Linked DNA regions of Rattus norvegicus. The protein of the gene in region 6 purifies or fractionates together with the protein of the main gene of each other region. This does not show direct contact. Links are inferred from orthologs where the notes say so. Each region holds a gene or a part of one and is shown on either strand. Other genes may lie near its edges. The genes, in order: Pop7, Rpp25, Pop4, Rpp30, Rpp38 and Pop1.

The links.
Region 1: the proteins of Pop1 (region 6) and Pop7 purify together in Homo sapiens (affinity purification with mass spectrometry; 3 studies listed by BioGRID and IntAct, with this or other methods). This does not show direct contact. The link is inferred for Rattus norvegicus from reciprocal best matches to the Homo sapiens genes POP1 and POP7.
Region 2: the proteins of Pop1 (region 6) and Rpp25 purify together in Homo sapiens (affinity purification with mass spectrometry; 3 studies listed by BioGRID and IntAct, counting the BioPlex papers as one, with this or other methods). This does not show direct contact. The link is inferred for Rattus norvegicus from reciprocal best matches to the Homo sapiens genes POP1 and RPP25.
Region 3: the proteins of Pop1 (region 6) and Pop4 purify together in Homo sapiens (affinity purification with mass spectrometry; 5 studies listed by BioGRID and IntAct, counting the BioPlex papers as one, with this or other methods). This does not show direct contact. The link is inferred for Rattus norvegicus from reciprocal best matches to the Homo sapiens genes POP1 and POP4.
Region 4: the proteins of Pop1 (region 6) and Rpp30 purify together in Homo sapiens (affinity purification with mass spectrometry; 5 studies listed by BioGRID and IntAct, counting the BioPlex papers as one, with this or other methods). This does not show direct contact. The link is inferred for Rattus norvegicus from reciprocal best matches to the Homo sapiens genes POP1 and RPP30.
Region 5: the proteins of Pop1 (region 6) and Rpp38 purify together in Homo sapiens (affinity purification with mass spectrometry; 3 studies listed by BioGRID and IntAct, with this or other methods). This does not show direct contact. The link is inferred for Rattus norvegicus from reciprocal best matches to the Homo sapiens genes POP1 and RPP38.

What each region holds. Positions count from the first base shown.
Region 1 is NC_086030.1:24,825,004-24,827,702, reverse strand, and holds Pop7 (ribonuclease P protein subunit p20), read right to left. Parts: upstream 1,543-2,699; 5' UTR 1,350-1,542; intron 1,151-1,349; 5' UTR 1,141-1,150; coding exon 718-1,140; 3' UTR 501-717; downstream 1-500. UniProt on the Homo sapiens protein: Component of ribonuclease P, a ribonucleoprotein complex that generates mature tRNA molecules by cleaving their 5'-ends. Also a component of the MRP ribonuclease complex, which cleaves pre-rRNA sequences.
Region 2 is NC_086026.1:66,801,842-66,805,142, reverse strand, and holds Rpp25 (ribonuclease P protein subunit p25), read right to left. Parts: upstream 1,882-3,301; 5' UTR 1,697-1,881; coding exon 1,097-1,696; 3' UTR 501-1,096; downstream 1-500. UniProt on the Homo sapiens protein: Component of ribonuclease P, a ribonucleoprotein complex that generates mature tRNA molecules by cleaving their 5'-ends. Also a component of the MRP ribonuclease complex, which cleaves pre-rRNA sequences.
Region 3 is NC_086019.1:100,102,257-100,106,364, forward strand, and holds the start of Pop4 (ribonuclease P protein subunit p29), read right to left. Parts: upstream 2,801-4,108; 5' UTR 2,643-2,800; coding exon 2,636-2,642; intron 574-2,635; coding exon 521-573; intron 1-520. UniProt on the Homo sapiens protein: Component of ribonuclease P, a ribonucleoprotein complex that generates mature tRNA molecules by cleaving their 5'-ends.
Region 4 is NC_086019.1:243,215,713-243,218,885, reverse strand, and holds part of Rpp30 (ribonuclease P protein subunit p30), read right to left. Parts: exon of another isoform or gene 2,535-3,173; coding exon of another isoform or gene 2,373-2,534; intron 2,124-2,372; exon of another isoform or gene 2,079-2,123; coding exon 1,962-2,078; intron 1,442-1,961; coding exon 1,412-1,441; intron 1,034-1,411; coding exon 996-1,033; intron 358-995; coding exon 278-357; intron 1-277. UniProt on the Homo sapiens protein: Component of ribonuclease P, a ribonucleoprotein complex that generates mature tRNA molecules by cleaving their 5'-ends. Also a component of the MRP ribonuclease complex, which cleaves pre-rRNA sequences.
Region 5 is NC_086035.1:79,821,998-79,826,167, reverse strand, and holds the start of Rpp38 (ribonuclease P protein subunit p38), read right to left. Parts: upstream 2,801-4,170; 5' UTR 2,691-2,800; intron 2,379-2,690; 5' UTR 2,211-2,378; intron 176-2,210; 5' UTR 166-175; coding exon 1-165. UniProt on the Homo sapiens protein: Component of ribonuclease P, a ribonucleoprotein complex that generates mature tRNA molecules by cleaving their 5'-ends. Also a component of the MRP ribonuclease complex, which cleaves pre-rRNA sequences.
Region 6 is NC_086025.1:67,600,541-67,604,040, reverse strand, and holds part of Pop1 (ribonucleases P/MRP protein subunit POP1), read right to left. Parts: intron 3,145-3,500; coding exon 3,057-3,144; intron 2,636-3,056; coding exon 2,448-2,635; intron 1,563-2,447; coding exon 1,306-1,562; intron 984-1,305; coding exon 890-983; intron 1-889. UniProt on the Homo sapiens protein: Component of ribonuclease P, a ribonucleoprotein complex that generates mature tRNA molecules by cleaving their 5'-ends. Also a component of the MRP ribonuclease complex, which cleaves pre-rRNA sequences.

The DNA.
Region 1 (2,699 bases), on a different chromosome or scaffold from region 6:
CACGTGCTACAGTGCCTAGAATAAAATGAGTTCTGGGTATCAAATACTCATGGTTGTTTGACAAGTAAGTGCCTTTCCTATTGAGCCATCTCCCCAATCCTCCCCCGTCATAATTCTTGGGGTTCCTAGGGATCGAACCTGGGGCCTAAATTGATGCTAGGCAACTAGGTAACACAATTTCCTCGCTGAATTAGATCCACAGTCCTTCACCTTGAAAACTTCTCTTTTCCCAAGCCTGGTAACTATGAGAGCCTGAGACAAACCAGCTGGAGCTGGCTCAGTAGGTGAGTCTGCTCTCTAACCTTCCTGAGTGCACACTGTAACAAGTTAAGCTTCTGTGTTACACTCAACAAACTCCTTATTTGTCATATTGTGGTCTAAGGTGGGTTCCTTTCCTGTGGCCTAAATATTTGCAAAGTTTCCTACCCCATTCAAGTACACACAGGAAGAACCATCCCTATTCAAGCACACTAGGAAGAAGAGACCATTCGAAGCCCGGTACCAACACAACTTAACATTTTATTATATGGGACAAGGAAGATTCGCTTCTCGGGCTCTCCGTTTCCAGTTCTCTACGCTGAGATAACAAGCTCTGAGAAGCGGTCCATGACAGAACTCAGAACAAGAGCCATACGAACCCCTAGAAACCTCAACCACATGAAGCCTGGATGTGTGTGCACAAAGGACTTGGTGGATGAAAAGTCAGCTTGATTTCAGTTACTTGGGCGTGACCCTGAAGACTCGGATGTGGATGGCTGAGTTGTTCCTGATCCTAGTCAGTGGCTCTCGAGAGTCAGTCTCTGGCTCCAACTCATCCACCAGCTCCACCGTGGAGGTATTAGCAGCCACCTGTAGGGACCCAAAGCTGCCTGCCTGCAGCTGCAGGGCGATGTTGATGGCACGGTTGATGGCCAGGCCCAAGCCATGAATGTAGATTTCAGTGCATGCGTTCTGCCCCCTAGTGCCTCCGTCCAGCAGCTTTTGGCAGCGAGCTAGCTGAGCCTTAAAATCAGTCTTCATGTTGACATAAATATCATTGGGCCTCCGCGGCAAGCGGTGGGGAAGTCGTTTCCGAAGGGTGTACTCCACGGGGTCCAGCTCAGCCTCGATGGCACCGCGGGGTTCTCTGTTTTCTGCCATGCTCTAAGTCCTGGCATGGAGAAGGAACGAGATTCAGGAAGAATGACAGAATCCTTTTCTGCCCAGCTTTCTAAGGGTGCAACCAGAAGGGGGCGCCCTCAACGCCCTCTTCCTTCCTAGCGTCTCAATCCCTTCCACTTCCGCTTTCTCCACTCCCAGTTTTAATTCATTCATCACGTGGCTCCCATTCCCGGCGTTTCCACGCCTACCTTCTTCCCTCCACAGTGCCCTTCACTCGTGTGAACCTCGCCGACCGATCCAAGTGGACCCCGCTGCCCACGATATGCAGAATAAAGAATCCGAACAGGAACGCCAGGCAGTCTCTTCAGCAAGGGCTACACACTGCGCACGCGTGTCCCCGCTCCAAGCCGGAATCCATAAGCTTGTGGCCTTCTGGGCCTCCGTTCTCTCCGCCCCTTTTCTCGTGCGCGTGTGCGAGGGAATTAAGTCTCGCGAGATTTGTGAATTCGAAGCGTTCTATTCTTGAGCGCTTGGAAGGGCGGGACTAGCTAGCAGAGGCGGGATTTATTGACAGAGGCGGGCCCAAGAGAGGCGTGGTGTGGATCACCCAGTTTTCCCCTCCCCTGGAGGGGCGGGACTCATGGATCTAGGCGGGAAGCAGGGTTGGTAGAAAGGGTTCGGAACTTCAGCCCGGGGTCAGCCTTGGAGCTGGGATCGCCCAGGGGCCGGAAGTCTGTAATCACTTCAGAGCAGTGGAATTGACAGCTGACCTCCCGCCCGAGGTCCTGGGAGATCCGGAAGCCGACAAATCGAAGGGATCGAGTTAAGGCCGGATGTCCACAATGGGCTCCTCCCTCTGCAAGGGACCCACATTAGGTGCCAAGCGTTTGCAGCTTCCCGCCACACCTCTTAACTGTCTTCTCCCGCCGCACTCAAGCTGCTCCTCCATGACCGGCAATCATGACCAGCCGCTCCCTGGTGGAAGGGACAAGAACTGCAGTACTTGGGTTCCTAACCCCTTAAAGTTAGTGAGGACTGGATCTCTGCCCAGATTGTTAAAGCCTTTGGACAGTTCCCTGCAGATGTGAGTGAGACCTGTATTTAGGACCTCGTCCTATAGCTCCAGACCACTTACGTAGGTAGAATCTGATTGAAGGCTGGAAAGAGAACTGTGCACCCTGCTGTATAGCCAACCTTGAAGTTGATTCCCCTGCCTCCACCTTGTGAGTGTCAAGATTATCGAGCACTCACTCAACTGAGCTACAACCCATAACTCTTGGGATTTCGGTTAAAGTGGAAGGTTTAACATTTTAGACCTTAGTTCGCTCCAAGTTGATCTATATATTTAATGAACATTTTAGGGGAACCTCAGGAAGAGTTGCACATATAAACCAAAATATCTTTTTTGTGGTGGGGAGGATAGGGTTTAACTATGTAGCTCAGGCTAACCTAAAACTCATGCTCCTGCCTTGGCCTGCTAGTGTTGCAGGTGTGCATGACTGCACCATATTAATGTGTTTATCCTAAAACTTGTGGCAAATAAATAGACTGAATTTAATAATTTTGTATTGTTGTTGGACTCATAGTCATCTCAGCAA
Region 2 (3,301 bases), on a different chromosome or scaffold from region 6:
CTGCAGTGATTCACAGCCCAAGCTTCTCTGCTGAATAGTAATTTCCAGCAGTGGATTTGTGCTGTCTCTCTCCCTCCCCCTCTCCCAAGGGTGTGCTGTCCTTTTGCAGAGAGAGGGCAGCGAAGGGGAGCCCCTGCTCCTGGGGCTTTGTGCCTGCCTCTGGGTAAGAATGGCTACTGGGAGGAGGGTGCAAGGTTAGAACCTTAGCATGGTTGGCCAGCCTTGGCAGGCTGCCGCTTCCAGCTCGTCAAGGCTCCCCCTCCTTCCCCTCCCAGAAAAGCAGCAACACTGCTTCCTTTCCCTTGTGGGGATACAACAGGGACACAGACCTCCAACCCCCTCCACCACAAGTCCCTCTTTCGACATTTTTGACGCTGCCCCGTCTGCGTCTGACCTTGAAGACTCCAAAGGCTAATAGGGCTGAAGGCAAGCATGCCAAAGTGGGCTCTGCACAGGCGAGCGGGTAAGGGAAAAAAAAGAGACAAAACTGGGGACGGAGCCATTTTCATGTTTGTTTTATTGGAAGCAATACTCCAGCAGGACTCAGGGGAGGAAGCATGGCAAGTTTCCTCCTGGGTCCCGTCTCTGCCACCATGCAACAGGGGTGAGGGTGGGGGGAAGCTAAAAGGAATATGCTAGGGTGTGGGTGGGCAGAACAGGGTCCAGACATTTTCAACTTGGTCACCCTCAAGGAAACAGCTTCACAGCTCCTGCTCTCAGTTAACAACAAGGACGGTTTTTAAAGCCTCAACTGTCAGCCTCCATGCACACTGGGTGCTTTTAACGTCTGGGTCCCCAAGAAAGCTCAAGAGTCCCACTACCCACCAGGCTTCCCTAAAAAAGATGGCCTAGAAAAGGTGTGGGTGGTGTTCTGTGGCTTCTGGCAACATGTCCCACAAAGTTTTCCTCGGACTTCAAGAATCCTCTCTTGTAATTCTTGAGCTCCCTCTCCTGTCGCCTTGGGATCCGCGTTGTCATTTTGAGGACCAATATTCAGGAACATGGGCCCCTTAAAACCCAGGTAGGAAGGGTGCATGTGGATGTAGGTGTGTTGAAGATATAAGATCCAGTCTAGGTGGTTCAGAGGCGAGAATTCTCAGGCAGTCCGGTCCTCATTCTCAGCCTCTGGCTCAGGCTGAGACCGCTTAGCTGTGCCTTCTCCAGCTGCAGATTCCCCCAGGCTCCTCTTGGACGTCGACACGGTAGGAGGGGACGAAGGACCAGGACTGAGGTTCGGGGGCTGGTAGCCAAGCTGTCGTGGATCCAGTGCGTCCTTTGAAAGTAGGATGGCGAGGCTCGGTACATTCTTAAGTACACTGAGACTGGCGGCCGGATCGCTGGGCGTCTGACCCGGTGTGGGCCCAGGCGGGAGGCTCTGCCACACCTCGCGCACGCTCCTGTAGCGCAGCCGCGTGACCTGGTGTAAGCCCGCCAGGCGGCGCTTGAGAATCTCGGCGCACGTGACGGTCTTGGTGGTGGCCCGGCCGCAGCCGCTGAAGACGATGGCGCGCGTGGCTGGCTGCGCCATGCTAGCGGTGGCGAAGGCCAGCAGGTTGCGGATCTTGCTGCCCTCCTTGACCCGCATGTGTACAGCACCAGGCGCCAGATCTGCAAAAGGGCCAGAGCTCGGGCTGCCACCCTCATCACCGTCCCCCGCCGGCGCCTCCTCCGAGCGCACCTTACGGAAGTTCTCCATGCGCCGTCGTCGCTGGGATCGCAGGTTTTGCCATGGGGCCGCCTCAAGCCCGGGGCTGCATGGCCGCGGGTCGTGCCGGGCGAGGGCCGGCAGGAATTGGGATGCTGGCACCGAGTGAAAGCTGGAGGGTGAGCAGGGAACGCGGAGTCTTCAGCCCAGACTTCTACAGGGTAGTGCTGTTCTACTCTGCGCCCTCGGAGCCTTGTGCTCCGCGCCTTTAGCAGAAGCTCCGCCTGGGAGCGGGATAGGCCCTGCCCCTTAGTCCAGGCCCCGCCCCAACTCTGCGTGTCTAGTCCCAGCCCCGCCAGCCTTTGGGATCCAGCGCTGGTGCTCAGCGGCTGAGCAGGGGTGGTTTGGGAGGTGAAGTTCCCCGAAGTCACCATCTGTCCTCCCTGAACCAGCCCTCTTGCAGGAACAACCTAAATAAAAACTATGCTTGAGGTGCAAACGCCGATTCAAGCCTAGTCCCTAAGCCTTGCGAGTTCCAGCTCAAGGGCATCCCTAGACCCCTCCTAGGTAAGAGATTTCCAAACCACCTCTTGGGGCTTCGCTTCTCCAGCCCTCCAGGGACCTCCCTCCCTTTCTCTCTATATATTCTTGCGTCAAGGACAGCCAGTGCATGGTCAGCAGAGTGTGGGAGGCGTTGGCTGCGGCTGCACGCAGCGCCTTCCCTGGGCTGGGACCGCTACGTCGTGGCTTGGTCTTTCAGTAGCTGCTTGGAATGACTTAAGTTTCAGCTTTGCTCCTCTTGATCATACCTCCAGGCTCCCGGCACCTATACATCTCTGAAATGTGGGAAGTGATGCGTTGGGCCTGCCTAAAGTGAATGGGGAACAGGGGACCATTTCTTCCAAGGCGTTAAATTCTAACATTTATGCCTGAAAGTCCGTTACCAGAGCTGCGTGTATTTTTAAGTGCGTGGCTCAGCCCGTGCTAACGCGGATTTCTGACTTCCAATTCCAGGTGGAATTCCTTGCCAGTCAGCCTTGGCCTCTAGAAATCCAGAGGATTGTTTTTGTTAAACGGAGAGAAGGCAGGTTTTAAGAGGTGGGAGGCAGGGTGGAGTGCCTTGGTGGAATGTTGGGGGTGGGAGTACTTGCAAACTCTGGAAACTCCACAGAATCTAAGGAGAGGCTCGGGCTCTGCTGGGAGGTGAGATGAGCGTAGAAAGATGAGGCTAGGGGCCAAGGGCTGATGAAAGGAAGACGGTTTAATAAAGAGTGACCCTATCTAATCCTCCCCTGGGACCATGTCCTCAGTCTTCAACCGGCTTCCACGAAAGGCAGGGAGTCAGACAGACCTGTTAAAGCACAGGGAAGGAAGAAGCACTAAGGACTGTAAGGAACTGTGTTCTCCAAAGTATCAGCAAGATGGTATCTGGATGAACATAGCTTCAGTCTAGGAGTAGAGCTACCCGGCCCTCCTCTTCCTCTTTGCTGTCTGTGACAATTCTCAGCCCCGCGGCTCAGAACACTGGCCTTATATCTCATCTCTTCTTGGAGTGTGGCTGCAGCACCTGGACTTTTTTTTTTGCCTCAAGTGTGAGTGACTGACTCCAATCTCTTGCTCACACTCCAGGAGTGTGGCTGGAACTGGGACTCTGTC
Region 3 (4,108 bases), on a different chromosome or scaffold from region 6:
TAACCTTCGAGGTGCCTGAAGCAGGGATAGCTCAACAATTCATCAACAAGTGACATGAGGACACTTCGGATCTTGTAACTAGGTGGCCTCTCTTTCATTGGGGATTAAAAACTGAAGGTCAACGGGCCTTTTGAAGTCTTGATTTCAAGGACATGTTCCCTTTAGGAGCCATAGGTGAAGCTTCTGCCCAAATGACAAAGCATCCGGAAACACCCAGACAAAACTCCTAACAGCGGCTTATGGAACGGGCTGAGCACTGCCCAGGATACTGGTTTCAGGTGGGCGAGGCTGTCATCCCTACAGAGAGGGGGATGACAGGAAATCAAGGAGTCCAAGTCCCTCAGAGCTGACTCTGGTAGCCTAAGGAAGGAGTCTGGCTCATGAAGACATCAGCACAAAAGGTTTTTATGGGGCCTAGTACACAGAATGGAAAGGAGAGGCGTAATCCATGGGAAAAGACAGTTACACCAGCCTTAGAAGATCCCGAGCCTCCTTTGCCGTCACCTCTGACAGACTGTACCTGCACATCGTGGTCCTTGGCTTCTTTATGAGAAAAGGCATGGTAGATCACAGCTGGGGGACGAAAGACAAAAACAAGGAGAAATGATTCTTCCTGTTAGGAACGAGTATAATAGCCAAGGCTTTTCCAACTAGGACAAGAACTACACTTACTCAGAGAAGATGATCCTTTTATTTTATGCTGCAGTGCTGGAGGACTAATGTGAGGGGAGTGTAATGTATGCTGAGCAGGTGCTTCACTGTGGACGTAGACCCCAGCCCTCTTACGTGTCTGCTTTGTATCCTAGGCTGGCCTCCAACCCACACCAGTCCTGTCTTAGGCTTCCAAGTGCTAGTAGCTGGGATTATACACATGTACCACCACACTGACCTTATAGTGGTACACATGTACCACACTACCCTTCCCTCTTGCCAACTTCATCCTAGAAATTCCCAGGATGTAGTTTTTTTAGAAAAGCACCCCTCAAAGCTTAATGTGTTTAAGAATCACTGAGATCTTATTAAAATTTAGGGTTTTGGTTCCTACTCGACTCTGCATGTTCAAAAAAATTCCTCAATGGGTCACATTTAGAGTTAATCTGATTTTAAACACCCAAGAGTTATAATTACGCTTGGGCAGTGGCTCAGTAAGTCTAGTAAGTCTAGACACTAAAAGTGAGGCGATCTTAATGCGTATGGTTGAAACACTACATTTTGCTGACTACGGAGAGGCTTGAAAGAGGTTTTTTCACACCTTAAAATCTATAATGTATCCTGACCAGATAAGATACAATAGTCTCTTTCCAAATTCTAAATACCATCTTCAGGATGCCAAAACCTCTTTTTTTTTTTTTGTTCTTTTTTTTTTTTTCGGAGCTGGGGACCGAACCCAGGGCCTTGCACTTCCTAGGCAAGCGCTCTACTACTGAGCTAAATCCCCAACCCCGCCAAAACCTCTTTAAACCTCCTGTTTCTCATTTGTTTGGAGGAAAGCATCATGGGGCTCATGACCAGAAAATGCAGTTCACACCATACTCCATACATTCCACTTCTGAGCTAAGTTTGGTGGCATCCCCATCCCTTGAGAGGTAGAGGCCAAGCTGGTTTTACACAGTGAGTTCCAGGCCAGCCAGGAGAACATAGCTGGCTGTATCCCAACAGCAACAGTAAGAAACAAACAAACAAACAAACAAAAATCCATCTCTGTTTCCCTGAGTACATGCTTGAGCAAGCAAACAAACCAAGGCACTTACAAGTTTTATATACAGCATCTAGTTCTCCCTTGAACAATGGATTGAGATTGTGCTTTTTTTGTTTATTGAGAGTGGAACCCCAGGGAGAACTTTGTTGTATTGACCCCAGATGCCTAGCATCAAAACTGAAAGTCTTTCTGCAACATGCAACAGGTAGGGGACACTCACTGCTGGTTGAGCAGTTGGTTGAGTGAGTGTGTGTGCATATATATGTGTGTGTGTATATATATATACACACATATATGTATGCATAATATGTATATATTAATGTCATTAATCTTTCTAAGCAATTTAAAACAGTAGTTACTCCTTGTTATGCACATAGTAAGGTTGTAGCTAAGACATGCTAAGAAACTTGCTCTCTGAGAAAAGGGCACGGACAGGGGTGTGAATCGCCCGATCAGAGGCTTAATCTTTACGGCATCCCCTCTCTACTCTAATACTGCTCCAGTGCTTAACTGCCCTTCTGGGTGCAGGTCTTTTCAGCTCAAATATCAACGCCTTAGGTGTGCGACACGGCCCCTCAGCAGTGTTTACAGGGGCAGGGGCAAGGGTGAAAAGCCAGAGAGTAGAGGGGAGCAGGCCCTAGACATAAGTTATATGGGAAGGTAGTGGCTAGGTCCCGTCAAGGACTTGGACCTACCTCTTCTAGTTCCCCTGAGAAGCCCTTGAGGAGGACACACACACACTCGATCCTGACGTCCATTCCTAGCTAAGAGACTGAGTCGGCCGATTCAGACTTGGGGCCTCGATTTGTGTACTGAGTCCATTCCCTGGAAGATGTCTTCTGACAAGTGTCCCTGACTCATTTCACAGACCAACTTCTGGTTCCGGTGCTCTATAGTCTCACCTCGGCCCCATTCCGCGCCTCTCATTCCACTTACCCTTCATTGTCGGCCAGCTTCCGGAGCGCTCTAATGATGTCTCCTCCAGGCCTCATGCATTCTTTTCCTTTCTTCGCTTTGTTCAGAGGTTTTTACCCCCACTTGGATGCTTTTTTGTTTAAGTTTAAGTTTCCACCTGAAAAAAATCCGATAAGCCCAAGAAACAATTTACAAACTGCACGGACTTGCTCCAGCCGGCGTCAATTTCGGATCAGGCGCCTCTCTGACGTCATCGGCGTGATGGCATCTATGTGCGTCTGTCTCTGGCAACACATGCGCCTTGGGGTTATCTCTGTGGCTTGAGGGAGGGGCGAGGTTTGCAGGTCTTCGCTGTGTCGTTCACTTTGCAACCGACTGTGCCGAGAGCGGTCGGGTCGAGGGTCAGGATTAATGAAGTATAGCGAGGCAAGCTGACATAGAAAGGACGTGAGGGAGATCGGGGACTAGGGAGGGCACAAGTGGTCCGGGGATATCGGCGGTAACGACTTTTTTTTTTTTTTTTTTTTATGCAAGGGGCTCACAATGTGGCCCCGGGTGACCCAGAATTTACTCCCGAGATTAATAGGCACATTTTGTACTGGTGGCCGGGGATTTAGTTCTGTTTCTGCTACTAAATACCTTTATAACCTCGTTTAAAGGTCTCTTTTACTTGATTTACTTGATGTCTTGAGCAAGCAGGTAGATACGTCCAGTTAGTGTAGCTAGTATAACAAAAGTTACATTTTATTATGCTGTGGGCCATTACATAGGTTCACCCCCTAAATTCCTAACTACATTCCTAAGCCTATCATCTCCCTAAGGCTACCCCTCTTGTGTGACTTATCTTAGCTGAAGGTCAGGCCCAGTCTCTAACAGAAGTTTTTGATTGGATCCTGGCAGTAGGGTTCGGGGAGGGGGTACGGGGGTGGGGTGGTGGTGGTGGTGGCTCTCCAGCCCCAGGGCAGATCAAGGTGGCTTCTCTCCAGACAATTGCTCTTGGTGTCTGCTTATATAATTCCACTGGGTGGCATGGGGTTCTAGGACTGGCTAGTTGTCTTGAATGAGTGATGAAACTGGGTTCTGATTATCAGGTGCTGCCTTTGGTGTAGTGGGGTTCCTTGACTAAACATTTTTATATGTCTAAAAGGCATCTTTCTTTCCTTCCTTCCTTCCTTCCTTCCTTCCTTCCTTCCTTCCTTCCTCCCTCCCTCCCTCCCTCCCTCCCTTCTTCCCCTCTCCTCTCTCTCCCTCCCTCCCTCCTTCCCTCCTTCCGGCTGGCCTTCCTTCCTTTCCTATGCTCATTAAATTGCACTCTGATGGTCTAAGAATGTTTGCTTTTTTAAACTGATTTTTTTTTTCACTCCTAAGACCAAGTTTCCCAGACACTTGCTGTGTGGTGTAGGCTGAGCTTGAAAGTGTAATATTCCTGCCTGAGCTTCTGGAGCATTAGAATTTACAGTCTCTCATTACATCCAACCCAGAAAGCATCCTTCA
Region 4 (3,173 bases), on a different chromosome or scaffold from region 6:
GAGAGACCATCCAGTGAGAAGCAGGAGGGAGTCAAAGGCCTCTGAGAATGTGGGCAGAGGACACTGTGGAGTCACTTCTGTAAGGCAAACGACATATAACGACATATAACGCACACTACAGAAAGTAAAGCCTGAAGTGAGGGGAGGGACCAGCGTTTGGTTAGAACTGGTTAGAACTGGTTCCTTATGGGAACTCTGTAGGAAGGGTAACGGGCACACATACGTCAATTATTGACGATGACCTGCCTCTGGGACCCTACGATATGAATATGCTCACCTCCATGGAGAAATGCAGCTCGGCAGTTTGTGGACACGGCAGCCTTGCCTTCATTTTCGGACAGCCCGAACAGCAGCCCTCTGACAGGGTCAGTAAGGACTTCAACCCAGTCAGCCAAAGGGTAGGAGACAACACGAACACAAACAGAGGACAGCTCACCTGGCCACAGTGGCAGACAGACTAACTCTACAGCAGGTCTTAGCCCGACTGAGACTGCACCTGAGAAGCCTCATTTAACTGTTTTCATCCTGCATAGTCCCTCGCCTCTCTTTTCTTCTGCTTAATCAGAAAACCAGGAAAGGGGGGTTGGGGATTTAGCTCAGTGGTAGAGCGCTTGCCTAGCAAGCGCAAGGCCCTGGGTTCGGTCCCCAGCTCCGAAAAAAAGAAAACAAACAAACAAACAAACAAACAAAGAAAACCAGGAAAGGATAAAGAAGTCTACAACTGGTTGTAATTGGCTTGTGAGGCAGCTGATCAGGAAATTTCCAACCAAAGGATAAGGAACATCAGGCTAACTCTAACAGCACTTTTGATTACATTTTCTAAGGGAAAATTCTAGCTCAATGTGATGGCAGAAGGTAAGGGTGCCTGCTGCCAACCCTGTGGCCTAGGACGGATGCCTAAGACCCACAGGATGGAAGGAGAGACCGAACTCCTGAACTTGTCTTCTGATCAACACCCAATAGGAACACATGTTTAAACAGAACACAGAGGATACAAGTTGGCCACGTCATATGGTCCTCTTATTTCCAAAGGCTGACATAAGGAAAACAGAAAATAGAACGAGATGTTATTAACATTTTAATTATTTACAATAAGTAAGTACAACTCAGTATCCAAAGATAAGTAAATTTCATAAATTAAGATCCTTATAATTGTGATAATTTTCTAAAAATAAATAACAAACCATATAAAGGCGTTGTTAACAAGGTAAAGGGAGAAGTAAAACCACTGTTTTCTAGTTATTTCCTAATATAAACATACACAGGCCCAACCTGAAGGCCGCATGAACGGGATATACTTAGCAATCACCATGGCAAATCAGTTAAAAGCACAGACTGGCAGTCCGTCAGTTGTCCTGAGAGCACAGTGACGTTTTAACCACGGAGACAAGGTATTCCATGCTATGCTTACCCTTTCTGCAGCACTGGACAGAATTACGTTCTATAAAACAGAGAGTGAGCAATATTAATCTTAGATAATTAATAAAATAATTGAAGAACTGTATAGAACAAATGACCAGCAATCCCGTTTTAACATTTAAGACTAAAATACTTTCGTTTTTTTTTTTTTTAAAGATAAGGTAGGTAATTAGTGGGAAACCATTAAAAGCTCTCATGTCACACTCAAGGCTGCCAATAATAAAAGCAGAATAAACTTTGTGAATACATCTTAGTGCAGATGAATTAGAAGCTGTAACTTTAACTCACTCAGCGATAATCAACTACTAACTTTTCATTGTGGCAAACTACAAATCCCTTATCAAAACCAGGGGCTTTTGGCACATCTTTCTTCCGTATCTTACTCCTCCCTGGGGAGTTTTTACAAACTCTTGCAAAGCTCCTTGAAATCGAAGAATCTAGTGTCCTGAGAATTTTCTGCTTAAGGCCAGGAGTCAGTTGACAGCATGGACACACTACTAAACCGCCATTGGCAGAAAGCACCCTGGGCGCAGGAACTATACCTTTCCTTTGCAGATCTGCATCAGATTGAGGGCATTGGAGATTGTGTACCTTCTCATGGTTGCGTCTCTGATAGCAGGACCATAGACCAGCTCAAAGCCCAGGCCTCGCTCGATCGCCTTTCCCAGAGATAGAGAAGACAAAGTGTAAACTGTCAAAGACAAGTATGTTAACTACTTCCCCTGCAGTCTGTCTCCACCTCCTCTCTCCCCTCTATGCATGTCTCCTGCACGGGAAGGGCCTGGCTTAAAGAAAGGCAGACCCACAACTCTGCACCCCATCTGTGTGAGAAAGACAGACACGAGGCTATGACAGAGCTTAGTCAGCTGTGGGGCCTACCAATATAAACAGGAACTGCAGAGGGGGAAGACAGCAACGCTTGTGTGGGGAGGAGGCGCAAAGCCGCTACTCACACGGTCCAAAGAAAAGGATGTTCCCATATGTAGGGAAACTGAGCCAACAGACAGCCAAGCAACTTGACCCCCAATGAAGGAAAAGGAGATGAAGACCTGAAGGGCCTGAGGAACAAGAGCGAGGACCCTCACAGCTATGTCACCTACTACATGTAGTTGCATAACTGAACAATGACCGCCATGGCTAACAATGCTATGTGTGAAGAATGGTGTTACTTAGAAAAACACTGTGGCTGAGACTCACGGACCCGTCCCCATGTTGTCTAGCTCTGTTTAAGGTTCATTGAAAGCCAGGGGAAACATGTGAGGGGCTTTAGTATGGAGGCAAGGATCAGACAGGAATTGCTGAAGTCATGTAGGTTACAGTGGATCCTGAATAAGTGCAGGAGGATAGCTGGCCCTGTCCACGCAGGACAGTGTCAGTCTCTGTAGGCCAGCTTCTTCTTTTTTTTTTTTTTTTTTTTTTTTTTTTTTGGTTCTTTTTTTCGGAGCTGGGGACCGAACCCAGGGCCTTGCGCTTCCTAGGCAAGCGCTCTACCACTGAGCTAAATCCCCAACCCCCTGTAGGCCAGCTTCTATGCAGCTCACTGCTCAGTCCCGGGAGTGGAGGGACTGATGTCGTAGACCTGAAGTCACCTAGAGCTCTCCAGCGAAGGCTCCTGTTCTTCCTTGACGTTTCTTCCTCTTCCCTGCTCCACCCCTACCTGTCTTCCGTATGTCCTGTGGTCTTAACGCTAGAAGCTTTTACATTTTCCTACGTCTTTCCCACTTCTAATTCTCTGGCTTGCATTTCTTCCAGGA
Region 5 (4,170 bases), on a different chromosome or scaffold from region 6:
GATCGACTTAAACTTGTCCTCCAGCGTCTGTAGGATAAAGTGCATGTCTTCTCTCTCCAAGCTGCTCCAGGAAATGACATAGGGGTTGTTCAGTGATGTCTTTACAACCAGAGGTCTAGTCTTCCGAATAGATCCCCTCTTTGGTGCCTGAGGAGCTGCAGCCATCTTGAAAACCCTTTGGAAAGAAGCAAAAATGATAAAAGTCATGTTGGCAGTGCATTTTTGAGAATATTTTGGGTATATTCTCGTCTTTTTTTTTTTTTTTTTTTTTTTTGGTTCTTTTTTTCGGAGCTGGGGACCGAACCCAGGGCCTTGCGCTTCCTAGGCAAGCGCTCTACCACTGAGCTAAATCCCCAACCCCCCATTCATTCATTTATAAGCACGTTTACTGCAGTGGGCAGATGGTGTTCCAGACACAGCTGCTGGTGGGCTCTGAATTCCCTGCAACTGCTCACACAGAACTTCTCTTCTGGACTCTCTCAAGTTCATAAAGAACTAGGTCGGATTTTAAGAACCAAAATAGTAATGATCTATCTCCATGGCTAAAACTTTGTAAGTCTCCCTCCTCTCATGATCCCCAAGTTCCTAAAACATTTTAAACATACAGGTTTATTTCCCCTCTCATGTGATCATAAAATTCCTGCTTTGGCTGACAATTTCATGAAAAATAGGAGAAATTTGTGGTGAAATTCTGAGAGTAACTCATTAGGGAGAAATAAATGGGCTGAGCTCCTAAAAGAAAAAACAAAACAAAACAAAAAAAACCCCACAAACCCACTGGCCTATTTGTTCTTCCTAGTGACTATATCATATTAACCTCACAAACAAGTTAGGATGTTCTCAACTGCTCCTTGTCAGGCATCCATTCATTTAGATCCTGTTTATTCTTCCCAAAGGCAACTAAGTATGTAGGTAGATATTATATATAATATATATGTATACATAAATAATATGCATGTGTACTCCTCTCAGTTGTTGTCTCCTTCCTAGAGTTCATCTGAGAACTATAAAGACCCAGTTGACAAAATAAGTCCCCTCTGATTAAGGTTCCTCTAACTCAGGGCGCTTTCTCCACACATCCAGTCCTAAAACACAAGAGTTTGCCAGTGTGGATTAGGAAGCAGATTCACTGTACAACTCACAGCTAGTTTTTCTGAAGACTTTTAATCATGATTCCATCTTAGAAATAACCTGTGATTGGCTTTTAAGAACAGTCAGATGGCTTTACTGAGCTGGGATTTCTGGGAGTACAGCTTCACCAGAGGTACTGGTAGAAAGATGCCCAACGTTTGGAGGTTGGTGTGGGACAGGTGGCATTTCCAAACTGGACAGCTGTAGGAAGTGGTGTTGCAGACTCACTCCTCTCCTGATCCTTCTAGTCCCCGTCCACATAAAGTCAGAATTCCTCCCACTAAAAGCTGCAATCTTGATTCTGTCAATGCTACCCCACTGCCACAGACATTGGCTAATAGCGGCTTCCTTCTCACAACGCACTGCACTGCTCCAATCAATGCCCCAACAGCTGCATACTTCCCACAAGTTCAGACTCAAGAACAGGTCATCTAGATCTAGTGAGGTGACTACCAGCAGCTGGCATCTAGCAGTAGGTGAAATGACCAGGAAGCAAGACAAACAGCCCCACCGCAGCTCTTGCCAAACTACAAGTCAGTTACTGTGTTGCCTAGCCCGTCAGTGTAAGAGGGACACACTCACAGATGCTCTGCAACCAAGGGGACTGCAAGATTGGGATGTACTCTGATTTACAAGAACCTAGAAGGGGAGGTGGAAAAAAGCCAAGTCTACATAAGGCGACTGCCATGCAATATGAATTTTTAAAATGCTGAACGGTAACGGGTTCACAAAGCTTGCTCTTGCTCAAGCGCCTTGCCAACTATGTCTGCAAGCTGCCACTGCCTACAGGACTAACTGCAAACTCAAAATGTTTACCTTTTTACTCACCCATCTCAAACCTTTCTGCTTTCACCCACCACCCATATTACAGGTTCTGAACATTTAGTTTCTCATGTCCTTATTAAGCGTACACTGTGCCTGGTATAGCACTCACACACCAGATGTTTTGTTTTCCATCAAATTCTTGGGACTTATCCTTGCTCCCGGTTATTAGGCGTGGGGCAGAGCAAACAGCTTCTGCGACTAATAAAAACGGCTCACTCTAAAGCCAAAGTAGTGAAGTACCTTGAGGAACATACCTTGAGGAACAGACAGTTAGCGACCTTAGTTGAGAGGGTCAGGAAAAGAAGTCTCTCTGGAGGAAATGACCGTAACAACCGCTTTCTAAAAGAATTCCTTCCGAAGGAAGCGGGCTGCGAGGTATCCCAGAAGAGTATTAAAGTTCAGTATCGCTCGGGACAGAGATGCTAGAGTTGGAGTAAGGACAAGATGGTGGTGACTCTAGAGAGACTTTCAGAAGGGTGGCGCTATTAGAAATGGGTCACAGAGAGACCTTGATTTGGGGAAAGAGACCCTGGATAGGCCGTCAGCAGCAGAGATGCTCCCGTAGTCTCGGGGGAATGATGTCTCACGTCACACCACGCGACGGAAGGAGGCCGGGATCGCCTGAGGCCAGCCGGAAAGAACCTCAGGGAGACCGGGCACTGGATGAACCCCACGCCGCGATGACCCGGGTGCCCACGGGCTGGGACTCGGACCACGGACTCGCATGCACCCACCTGTGCAGAAGCGCCCCGCGGAGACCACGTGACAGATCGATTCACTGCGGCGGCAACTCCGCCACCACCGGGGACCACGGCGCCCGCTCCACGTGCGCCTGCTGCGCGCGTGCGCAGAACACGAGCTCCGCCTACCTGCCGCTCTGCATTACGTCACTCCTAGTAAGGAACGTCAGCCGTAGTTTGGCTACCGAGAGTGGTCCCTGCGTAAAATCCCTCAGCCTGGGACCGAGCTCTGGAGCAGCACTGCGCAGGCGTACGGTCTGTCTCGCGAGAGTCTGTGGTTGCTGTAGTAACCAGCCTCTGCGCTTCTGTCAGGTTGTCTAAGGATGCTGATGTACCAAGCAGCTCCCGGAGTCTGGTTTTGTGAGAGGTGGATCTCTCCTTTCCGCTCGCTGTTTTTAGCCAAGTTGGTTCTGCCTGGGAACTCTGGCCTGCCGTCTCTTTTCGTTCTAGGGACGCAAAGCTCCAGCCCTTATGGCCACCCATTCATTCCCCTGCCCACGTCGCCGCGCCACCACGAAAATCAAATAAGTAGTAGGGCTAACAGGGTTGCGTGTAATTACAATTTATGTGGAGAATCTTGGGCCCTCTGAAAGGAGAATAAGGGCTGCGTTCAGTTCCACAGCGGTACTCCAGAATATGCCGGCAATATCTGTTGTGCCTCCTGACTAATGGAGACTGTGTGTGTGTGTGTGTGTGTGTGTGTGTGTTTTATGAAACAAAATCACTGGAAAGTTACAGACAACTAGTAAAACAGTGGAATAGCGTGCTAAAGATTAAAATTCTGTTGGCTACACTTGACAGGATTTTTTGCTGTTGTTCCTTTCTGACCTCTCAGGACGTTGGGAGGTGTAGTGGCTATTCCTGGTTGTCCGCTTGACTATATCTGGAATGAACTGCAATCCAGAACTGAAAGGCTCACCTTTGATCCTGATATTGAGGCTGGGCGATGGAGATTCGGGTCCTTCTCTTTATTTTCCTTCTAGGTGTCTTCATTGCTCGTTTTAAACTAACGTTTATAGTCTAGCTTCTGCATTTTCATCATTCGCCACTTATTGGACATTTAAACAAAACAAAAGCGGTTGCTTTTGGTCAAGGATTGTTGAAGTTTTTACAGGGAACGTGTGCTATGGTTTCTACCAAAAGTTGATTAAGAAGAACGAAGTCAGGACGAGTTTTGAGTGTGCCAACAGGTTTTTGTCTCATAAAGCGTTCTTTACTATAACCCGCAGTCCTGGTGCGCTGAAGACAAATCGCGGTGATAGAATTGAAATACTAAAGGTTCACATGAAATCCTGGCGCGTGGGAGACTGGGGCAGGAACCTACACACCATAAAAAAAGCAGAAAGAAGGAGCGAGAAAAAGTGTAAAAAGGTAGCCAGACTGCTATGTTCAAACCTTAACCTTACCACTAACTAGTGTACCTACGCCTCGGGCAAGTTAATTAGCCTTCTGTGAAATGATAAAAATAGCCCCT
Region 6 (3,500 bases):
CCTAGAATCAAGCCTTCTGAATTCAAATCTTCACTCCATCCTTTGTGAGCAGATACAAGACCTCTGTATGCCAGGCACTGTGCTAAGCACTGGGGACAAGGTAGAGGGCAGGGCCAGCACTGCCTGCCACCGGAACCACAGATGTCAAGAAATGTTAATGCAGAGCAGAATGTACCTGTAAACGGAGGAATGTGCAGATGCAACAGAAACAACAGGCAAGCAAGATAACCAGAGCAGGGGAAGGTTCCAGATGGAGTGCAGAGTGCAGGAGACAGGCTGAAACCTGAAGAACGAGGGACATTTAGCCCAACCGAGAGTAGCACACAGGGTGCTCAACAGGCAGAAGGAAAACAGGTGTGAGTCGTGACAGAAATGGGAAGTAGCACATTCTAGAGCCTGAAGGCCAACATGGCCAAAGACCAAAGGTGAGGGGAGAACTGCAGGTGTGAGAGGACACAGGTCACAAGAGCCTTAGTTAAAATTAAATAAAGGTACAAATCAGTTCCTCGGCCGCTCAGTCACATAAGTGGTCAACACTGTCACATGAGACATGTTGCTCAAAACTTTCCAGAAATCAGTCAGATAAGCCAAACTAAAAGAAAACAAAAACTGAAGGAAAGGGGGGAAACGGACATAAAAAAGCAGAGATTTTAGAGATATCCCATTGCCCATCTAGGGAGCAGGGATTACCTTCTACAGAATCAAGAAAGCAAGCAGAGGATGGCACTTAAATACCCAATTGACTGCCACACCCACTGAGATTCCATCTTCTAGAAGTCAAGGATTAAAACAAAAATTAGCAAAAACAAGCTGGGAAATACTCACTACGACGCAACCCACTGGGATAGGAGATCGTATGTGAGGCCTCACAAATCTGCCGTTTACTCACTCTGTGTACAGGAGCAGCCCTCAGTGCTGAGGTCAGGATACAGTGCGAAAGAGGTCCGACCAGCCGGAACCTGTTCATCTCCATGGTCAAGTCACTGAGAGAAGACCAGAAAACAGAAACGTCCATCACACATGGTGTCTCTACCACTGGCGAAAATGGGACAAGTCATAGCAGACACAGTGGCACACAGCACAAGAAAGCCGGGCAGGGTGGCACACACCGTTAATTCCGGCACTTGGGAGGCAGAGGCAGGCAGTCTGAGTTTGAGGCCAGCCTGGTGTATGCAGTGAGTGCAAAAGGCAGGCAGGGAAACCCTCTATTGAAAAAACAAAACAAAAAACAAAGGGGAAGGGGGGAGGGGGGAGTGGCGTTCGAGTGTTGTCACAAGGACAGTCTCACTCTGAACCCCCTCCTACCTGACTACGATCCCTGTAGTGGGAGAGAGCCACGACCGTGGCTGGCAGGGATCTCCTGTCCCGTCACCAATGGTCTTCTTCGCTCGTCTAGCATTTTCCCCATCATCTCTCCTTTTTCTTTTCTTGCCGATTTTGTCATCAGCTAGTCCTGCCTGAATGTCTTCCTGGGCTGGTGTCAGGAGTGGGGCAGGCACACAGACACTTGGCTTGACGGGTTCTGAACACTGGCACGTTGTTTTTATTTCCTCTAGGACAGCCTAAGGAAGTACGTAAACATTTAATTTAATCTTCAAAATTTAAACACAGAGGGCTCAAGAGATATATGTCTTAATGGTTAAACCACCTCTTCTGGCCCCCATGGGTACTGGGCATACACATAAAATAGAAAATAAGTAAATCCTTAAATTTTTTAAGTTAAATGCAGTGTTCTAAGTTATATTGACAGAGATGGGTATGCTCACTATGCTAAACATTACCGAATGCATACATATTTATCAAATCATTATAGTCAAGCTAAGTATATCCATTCTTTGCTCAATAGTTTTAGATAAAAAAAATTAAATAAAAAAAAAAAATCAGGGGCTGGAGAGATGGCTCAGTGGTTAAGAGCACTGATGCTCTTCCAAAGGTCCTGAGTTCAAATCCCAGCAACCACATGGTGGGTCACAACCATCTGTAATGAGATCTGATGCCCTCTTCTGGTGTGTCTGGAGACAGCTACAGTGTGCTCACATAAAACAAATAAACATATCTTTAAAAAAATAGACAATCAGTCAGGCATGACGACACATGGGTTTTTGGGAGACAGAAACAGGCAGATCATTTTGAATTTGAGGCCAGTTTGGTCTACACAGCAAATACAGGAAAGTCAGGCACTCAGAAACAAATGAAGGAAGGAAGGGAGGGAGGGAAGGAGGGAGGAATGGATGGAAACTAACATTTTAATTGATTCATTAAAAAAAGTATAACATCAAACTGTCAGCCAAACTTGTATACCCTGAAATGTCTAAAATGCTGTCTCCCAGTGGTAATTATGAATATAAGCGTCCACGCAGTGGAAGGAAAGAGCAGACTCCCACATGTGTACGGTTAAAGCCCTCCACTCGCTGTGTAATTAGATGGAATGTAACAGAAAGACATACCAGTTTAAGAGTTGGGTGAAGCCAGATCCACAGCTGCCTTTCCTCAGAGGCGTCCCCTGGGGTCTCCCTAGACTTCCAGATGAAGGTAACCGGCCCAAGCATGTCTCTGGGATACTTATTTGCCCGGTAAAGCATGAGGCTCCCTTGCCGCTTCCCAGACAAGCAGTGAACTGCAGCAAAAGTCAGTCCTGGCACACACAAATGAAACAGTGTAACTGCAGGTGCTGTGCTCACACACAGCGTTATTTATTCCGGAGAGAATACTATTAGCAATTGTCAGTCTCCGAGAGAAGCTTTAGTTCTGGCCACAGCTTAAAAGAAAACTGGGCACAGAGTAAGGTCTCAAGAAATATTTGTTAAATCAATGATTTAGTGAGTTTCAGGTTGTTTCTGTCTCAGTTTATTCCACAGAATAATGGCTCACTTTACACCTGAGAATGTTAGTAAAGATTTAAATATCAACTCAACCTTTCTTAAATTAACATACTCACTGGGAATATCTCACATTTCCATATTAAAACTGTGAGGTGCTTAGTAGTGTTTATAATGGACATTCATTTACAAATGAACAGATACAAGGTTAAAGCAGCACACAGCTTTAGAATTTACCTGTGTCTATGCTGCACATTTGAGAAAGTGCCTTCAGTATTTCTTCCTCTTTGCCCTTCAACTCCAAACAACAGTAATATGATAAATCCTGAACAAAGGAGAAACATAATTAAATATTCTATGCTCTGTTATGGGGTAAAAATACTAAGAAGCCAGTAACCCCATTGAGGAACACAGGAGATGGCTCGGAGGTTAAGAGCACAAACTATTCTTGCACAGGACCCAAGTTCAATTCCCAGCACCCACTTTGGGTGGTTCACAACTGCCTGTAACTCCAGGTCCAGAGGGGATCTGATCTAACATCTCAGGCAACCAGAAAACCTATTCTAAAAACACAATCAATTCCCTGAAGCCAGCTTTTCAACAACTCAAAACCTAAACCCTGCCCACTGCTATTAGCAGGTATTCTTAAGCCATCCGAGTCAAAAGCCAAATGCATCTTCA